2 linked regions of the Mus musculus genome follow. The protein of the gene in region 1 purifies or fractionates together with the protein of each later gene. This does not show direct contact. Links are inferred from orthologs where the notes say so. Each region holds a gene or a part of one and is shown in the gene's direction. Other genes may lie near its edges.

The links. The genes of interacting proteins can lie anywhere in the genome.
Region 2: the proteins of Prkaa1 (region 1) and Pars2 purify together in Homo sapiens (affinity purification with mass spectrometry; 3 studies listed by BioGRID and IntAct, with this or other methods). This does not show direct contact. The link is inferred for Mus musculus from reciprocal best matches to the Homo sapiens genes PRKAA1 and PARS2.

What each region holds. Positions count from the first base shown.
Region 1 is NC_000081.6:5,174,831-5,178,390, forward strand, and holds part of Prkaa1 (5'-AMP-activated protein kinase catalytic subunit alpha-1), read left to right. Parts: intron 1-1,655; coding exon 1,656-2,142; intron 2,143-2,248; coding exon 2,249-2,375; intron 2,376-3,560. UniProt on the Homo sapiens protein: Catalytic subunit of AMP-activated protein kinase (AMPK), an energy sensor protein kinase that plays a key role in regulating cellular energy metabolism.
Region 2 is NC_000070.6:106,649,784-106,653,868, forward strand, and holds the start of Pars2 (probable proline--tRNA ligase, mitochondrial), read left to right. Parts: upstream 1-1,285; 5' UTR 1,286-1,348; exon of another isoform or gene 1,349-1,365; intron 1,366-2,485; exon of another isoform or gene 2,486-3,239; coding exon of another isoform or gene 3,240-3,347; coding exon 3,348-4,085. UniProt on the Homo sapiens protein: Mitochondrial aminoacyl-tRNA synthetase that catalyzes the specific attachment of the proline amino acid (aa) to the homologous transfer RNA (tRNA), further participating in protein synthesis.

The sequences.
Region 1 (3,560 bases):
CCCGAGTGCTGGGATTAAAGGCATGCACCACCACGCCCAGCTGAAATTTCATTTTATTAATGACACACTTTTCTTGTGGCAATATACTTTGAGTCATAGGAAATTGATTATTGTGCTCAATTGAGTATTGAGAAATGGCTGCATTGTGTATCATGGTTTAACCTGATAGTTTAAATAAGGCATGACTGATAGTGGCAGCTGTGCTTCCCGGGTTGCGGTAAGTCACGTCTCATGAACACTCAGTACTCCCTGGCCACCGTACTCTGTCATCAGTGTTTCTTTATTTTTGTTTTCCTTAGTTCTTTGATCTTCTGATGTCTAGAGTACACGTTTTTCTGATACTCAAAGTAGAAGGAACTAAAGACGAATAATAAGTAGAAAACATTAGGGCACATGGGACTTTGAGCTGGATTCCTTGCCACTGACTCCTTATGCTAGAAGTCCTGTTGAAGCTGGGTGTGGTGGTCCACGCCTTTAATCCCAGCACTTGGAAGGTGGAGCCAGGGAGATCCTGTTAGTTCATAGCCAATCTGGTCTACATAATGGTTTCAGGACAGTCAGCTCTGTAGAGAGACCCTGATTCAAAAACAATAACAAACAAAAAGACCTGCTGAAAAGAAGTCTCCATGTCGCGGCATGGCAGATGGGGAGGCAAACTCAGTTAATTAAATGGATATTATAAAATATGTAAGTGGGATGTATATTCGCACATGTTTTAGATATTTTTCATAACTGAAATGTGATAGCAAATGCTGGATCTGGTGGCGCACACCCATGATCCCAGGACTTGACAAGCTGAAAGAGTATGACCGTGAGTGTGTTTCCAGCCTGGGCTATGGAGTGAAGATTCCACCTCAAAAACCAGTCAGATACCCTTAAAAACCATTATTCTTTTCAGTGTTTGCTTTGTTTGTTTGTTTTTAAGTTTTAGTATAGTTCTTGTTATGGTTCCATGTCCTTTCATATATAGAATTAATGAATACAATATGAAATTGTTCAGAGGTTGGTCTTTTGAGTCATAGAACTGGGTTGAAAGGACGAGGGTAGATTTTAAATGGATGAATTGTTTATCGTGAAACTCAGCATGGAGTAAGAATGCATAGGATGATATTGCACACTGTTTTTGTTAGTAAGCTCTTTTCCTATAACATGAAATAGTGTAAAAAGTGAAGCCACACAACATAGTTTCTTTCTGGGCTGGAAAAAGACTGTCCTCAGTCATTGTCCTTTGGGTAGACATACCAAATTTGGCTGCCTTGATCCTCAAAAATTAGTGGCAGGGGACTAGAGAGATGGCTCGGCTGTTAAGAGCACTGGCTGCTTTTCCAGAGGTCCTGAGTTCAATTCCCAGCAACCACATGGTGGCTCACACCCATCTACGGTAGGTTCCAATGCCTTCTTCTGGTGTGCAAATTGTACATACAGACAAAATACCCATACACATAAAAGTATATAAATAAAAAATAGGTTGTAGACTAATGTTTTTCTCAGCATATTCAATGAAGTATGAGCTAGAAGGGGAAACCAGTTTAAAGAGAACAACTGTAATAATGTAGCATGAGTATGAACTCATTCATATCCTAAACTCTGGAAACTATTACTTTTATTCTTGGTTTAACTGAAAACCCTTCTTCCACCATTGCTGTCTCTCTTAGGGAACACGAGTGGTTTAAACAGGACCTTCCGAAGTATCTCTTTCCTGAGGACCCATCTTATAGTTCAACCATGATCGATGACGAAGCCTTGAAAGAAGTGTGTGAGAAGTTCGAGTGTTCGGAGGAGGAGGTCCTCAGCTGCCTGTACAACAGAAACCACCAGGACCCACTAGCCGTCGCCTACCACCTCATCATAGACAACAGGAGAATAATGAATGAAGCCAAAGATTTCTACCTAGCAACCAGCCCACCTGACTCTTTCCTGGACGACCACCATTTAACTCGGCCTCACCCTGAAAGAGTACCGTTCTTGGTTGCCGAAACACCACGGGCCCGGCACACCCTGGATGAATTAAACCCACAGAAATCCAAACACCAAGGTGTACGGAAGGCAAAATGGCATTTGGGAATTCGAAGTCAAAGCCGACCCAATGATATCATGGCAGAAGTTTGTAGAGCAATCAAGCAGTTGGATTATGAATGGAAGGTAAGAAGGCAAGTGCTCTCTCTGTTTGGTGAGCCTGTAGCCAAAGCCCTTTGTAGGAGAACTGATGTGATGATGTGCCTTTGTTTTTGTCCATATCCAATGCTAGGTTGTAAACCCCTATTATTTGCGTGTACGAAGGAAGAATCCTGTGACAAGCACATTTTCCAAAATGAGTCTACAGCTATACCAAGTGGATAGTAGGACTTACTTGTTGGATTTCCGTAGTATTGATGGTATGTACACGCAGAACCCTGGAGGTCATGTAGTTATATAGCCTGCTTACCTCATTTGCTTTATAGTCTTTGTTTTCTTTCTTTCTTTTTTGAATAAAAACTAAGCATGCAAAGTAGTAAGCTTCATATGGCGCCTTCCTCCCTTCTCTCTCTCTAGCTTTTCTATCCTCCCTCCCTCCCTCCCTCCCTCCCTCCCTCCCTCCCTCCCTCCCTCCCTCCCTCCCTCCCTCCCTCCCTCTGCATGTGTCTCAGAACACATGGGACAGGCTGCAGAAGTCAATGTCAGGTACCGTCCTCCTTCACCTTCCATCTTGCTTTGGAGACAAGGTCTCTTTGCACACGGGTGGTTGCCCTTCAGGGTACACTCACGGGCCAGCAAGCTCCAGGGATCATTTAATTTCCGACTTCCAGCTTTGGCGTAATGGGCGTGCCCTCGCTGGCCTGGCTTTGACATGGGTCTGGGGATCAGCGGCAGGGCCTCCTTATCTACTGAGCCTTCTCCCCAGCCCCCCAGTGCACGCTGCCATACATGTCCTGCGTCCTTGGCATCCTCCTCACTGCCCTCCACCTCAGCTATGTCTTAGGAAGCTTCCTGGCCTTTTCCTGCTAATTCATAGGAAACATGACTTCCTATGTTCTGCAAGACTGACGTTTGTGAAACCTGTTATTCTTGCTCCATGTAGCATATTGATTTATAGATTATTGGGGCTAGGGATTTAGGTCAGTATTGAAGTTCTTGCTTCACTGGCTTCAATCACCATCACCTGACTATTGTTCTGTAAAATCTTTAAAAATATACAGGGTTTTTGTTTGTTTGTTTTGCTTATGCTCTAAGTGATGTTTGAGAAGCTGCAGGGTAAGAGCGCTGATCTGAGGTGGGGAGGGTCGAGCTCTTGAGAGGTGGGAACTGTCCCTTTGGTGCCTTGGACAAGTCCCTCAACTTCTGGCTTTTTATATCTGTAAAATGGTTCCTAGGTGAGACAAGTTCCAAGATACCTTTCATACTGCAAGTGATCGATTCTGTATTTTTTGTTTTGTTTTGTTTTTGAGACAGGGTTTCTGTGTAGCTCTGGCTGTCCTGGAACTCATTCTGTAGACCAGGCTGGCCTCAAACTCCCAGAGTTGTCTTTGCCTCCTAATTGATGGGACTAAAGGTGTGCTTGCCACTACCCAGTGAGTCTGTGG
Region 2 (4,085 bases), on another chromosome or scaffold:
GGCTGAGCAAGCCATGAGGAACAAGCCAGTAAGCGGTATTTCTCAGTGGTGTTTGCTTCAATTCCTGTCTCCAGGTTCCTGTCCTGAGACTTGACTCCTCGCTACCCACCCCCACCCCAGGGATGGACGGTAACTCATAAGCTAAAACAAACCCTTTCCTCCCCAAGTTGCTTTTGGTTGTTATCTTTCTCACAGCCACTGAAAGCAGACTAAGACACTTGGTCGGCTGAAGTTTGACTGTGTCAGCTTACAGGCCATCACTTCTAACATGAATGTTGGGAGCTGTTTTCCCCATTCTCTGCTTCCCCACAGCTGCAGCAGTAGCGTGTACTATGTAATTATTCATAAACTATTTTGTGAGGGCTGGGGAGACAGCTCATCAGGTAAAGTGGGTGCCATGAAACATGAAGAGGGGGTTCAGAGCCTCAGTGTATAAGGTAGAGATGGATGAGAAACACCTATGAAAGCTTTGGGCCTTCACACACTAGTTCACACGTGTATATGTGTTCCTACACACATACAAACATACCACATAACACACTTATGTAAACCATGTACATATACATCTTGTAAATGAAGAAAAGACCCAGCCTCATTGTATGTGTGTGTGAGTTTGTGTGGGAGTGGAGGTGGGTATCCTCAGTGGTCAGAAGGTTTTGGAGTTCCCTGGAGCTGGCGTTTCAGTGATTGTGGGTGCTGAGAACCGAACACTGGTTCTCTGAAGCACAGCAGTGGTTGTTAACCAGCACAGCAACGAATGTTTCAAGTCGCATCTTCAAGACTCAGGGACACTCGCCTTTGAGAAGCCACATCCGTGCTCTCCAGTTCCCCTGGTGCTTTTAAGCCTAGTGCTTCAGCCTATATTAAAATGTCTTTATTAAACCCCATCTCTGCTTCATAAAATTTTTTAAAAAGACTTCCTTGGCTATTGTAATACAGGTGACCTTATGCAAGTGTTTCATAGTTTTAAACTCATTTAAATTGTGGCTTGTTCAATCATAGCGTAGATTTGAAACATAGCTATTGTCAATGAACCTGCTCTCCACATAGACCGGGCCTAGCAGTGGGCGGTAAAAACAGGACTCAAATCCTTTAAAGTAAGGTTTGATCATAGAGTTGAACCTTGCTAATTCCTAGAGGGCACTTCCGGAATCTTGGCGGGAGAGCGAGGCTCTTTGGTTTGCTTTCCGGAAAACCTCTCCAGCCTCTCTCCAGAGCGTGGGACCGGAGCATCCCGCCCCCTCCCGTGAGTGCGGCTTTCCGATTGGTGAGAAACACAGGGGGCGAGGCTCCGGCCATGTCGGCGCAGGCGCACTGGCTTTGCGTGACTGAAGAGCGCCCGACTCAGGTATTGAGTTGCTGCTGGTGAGCATCGGTGGCCGCTGGACTTGGAGGGTGGCTAGGAAGGGCCCAGCGAATCTAGGGACAGTTTCTGGGCACGCGCACCCACGATCTGGTGTCTGCTGTCTCGCGTGCATCCTCTCAGTCGCCACAGGCTATTGGATAGTCGTGTGCTCGGTTGCAGTTCACCTTTCCCCATCTCCACCCCCGCTGTTTGAGAGCAACACTTCCGCCCTAGTTATCCTTGCGTGGCCCTTACTTAGAGGCACAGAGTTCCTAAAAGGGCCCATTTTGGACCGGTCCCGGGGATGACCTGGTGGCTCAGCCGCCTTAGGGTTCTAAAGAGGAATGAAGTGACCGCAGTACGCTCACTCCTCGTAAAGGCCAAGATAGAGCAGGGGTTGGAAGTTTCATCGCTGTTGTATGCTGCGCTGACGTTGGTGGTATTTGGAGGCAAATTCCCGCAATCCAGAATGGCCATGGGCCTTTTGATGTCACCTGACACAAATCAGAGCCTATGACCCTATGATCCATCTCAGAGCCTATGAATTGGGCATCATAATACACAAACCTTTAGGGCACTAGGCATTGCAAGCACACTGTGTGCAGTTTTCCTGACTGGATCGTGTGTGTGTTCATGTACTGTGTACCTGAAATAGGGCGAAGGCAGGGAAAAGGCCTCTTACAGGTGAGATCTGCGGTACACTCGAAAGGCAGCAAGAAACTGTCATTACCAATGCCTGTGTTAAGTTGAAAGTGTAAGGAATGCAAGGAGGCCAGTAGAGACTGTTTTAACAGTCACGGATGATGGTATCTTGAACTGAGGTGCAGGCTGGTCAGGTGGAGCAGGCTGGGCCAGAGGACTAAAAACTGTGACAGTACTGTGGAGCAGAGTAGATGAGGGCAGGTTTCTGGTTTGGCCAGAGGGTGCTTTGCAGGGTGATACTCAGATCTGCAGGGGCACCATTGTCTGAAGAGATTCTGCCTCACTAAGTTTCAAATAGCGTGTACTATGTTCTCCAAAGATGGGAGAATATATAGGTCAGAAATTCAACAGTTTGGACAGTGAAGATGCAAACTGACCAGGAATGTGTGGTGGGTGAGAGGAGCAGTTAAAACAATATTGACTTTTTTGTTGCGGCAGATTTTCATTTCCTCCGATGTCCTGGAACTCAGATGTGCAAACCTAGCTGATTCTCTTACCTCTGGCTCCCAAGTGCTGGGATTACAAATATGCCTCAGCGCCTAGCAATACTGACTTAGTAGGGATCGAGACAAGGAATTGAAGAAAAAACAAACAAACAAAAACCAAAAAAAGCCTGCTCTTCGCTGTTGCCTGTGAGATTGCAATTGACTTGTTTCAGGGTCTCTCCCCAGTGTTCTGAAATAGTAACAATATCAAACATCCACCAGGCTCATGGCCTGTGCCAAAAACTGTTGTGAGAATTTTTTCTACCTTTAAAAAAATTCTCAACAGTAAATGTACAAGGCTGATCTGGTGGTTATATCATTTCATGATGAAACTCTAGCACACGGGTAGCTACAGATGTGGCAGGCTGCTGGAAGTGGCCAGTGGAAGTTGGTTTAGAGCCGACTGCCTTATCTAGAGCCTGCGCATAACTGGATGCTATCTCCACAACAGGCTGGTAACATTTTCATAATCAGAAGAATATGACTTTCTGTTGTTGCTGCTGCTATTGGTTTTTTGTCTGTTTTGTTTGTTTTTGTATTTTTTAAAAAAGGTCTCTCTACATAGCCCTTACTGTTCTGGCACTCACTATGTACCAGACTGGCCTCAAACTCAGAGATCTGCCTGTCTCTGCTTCTCAAGTACTGGAGTGCTGGGATTAAATGCATCTGCCACTATACCCAGATGGATTTCTTTAAGTGGTACTGTGATGTGCTGGGCTAATAGACATGGAAGGATCCACATCTTGGATCCCGTGCTGAGAACCAAGTTAATCGTCATCCCACGTGACTCATTTTTCTCCAGGTGCCAGGGTGTCATGGAAGGTCTGCTGACAAGATGCAGAACACTGTCTGCCTTGGCTGCCTGCAGCCTCCGTCACTGCAGATACATCATCCACAAGTGTTACCATCGTGCGCCCGGGAGAGGGCAGCGCTTGGTATTATCCCGCATGTTCCAGCCTCAGAACCTTCGGGAAGACCAGGTGCTTTCTCTGGAGGGCAGAGCTAGCGACCTGACCTGTAAGAGCCAGCGGCTGATGCTGCAAGTGGGCCTGATCCTTCCAGCCAGCCCTGGCTGTTACCACCTCATGCCCTATACAGTGCGTGCCGTGGAGAAGCTTGTGCGGGTGATAGACCAGGAGATGCAGGCCATCGGCGGGCAGAAAATCAACATGCCCAGCCTCAGCCCAGCTGAGCTGTGGCGGGCCACCAGCCGCTGGGACCTGATGGGCAGGGAGCTGCTGAGACTGAGAGACAGGCACGGCAAAGAGTACTGCTTGGGACCGACTCATGAGGAAGCGGTTACAGCCCTGGTTGCCTCCCAGAAGAAACTTTCCTACAAGCAGCTCCCCTTGTTGTTGTACCAGGTTACAAGGAAGTTTCGGGATGAGCCCAGGCCCCGGTTTGGTCTTCTCCGTGGCCGGGAGTTCTATATGAAGGACATGTACACCTTTGATTCCTCCTCTGAGGCTGCCCAGGAAACCTACGGCCTGGTGTGTGATGCTTACTGTAGGCTGTTTGACAGGCTGGGATTGCAATGGATGAAGGCCAGGGCA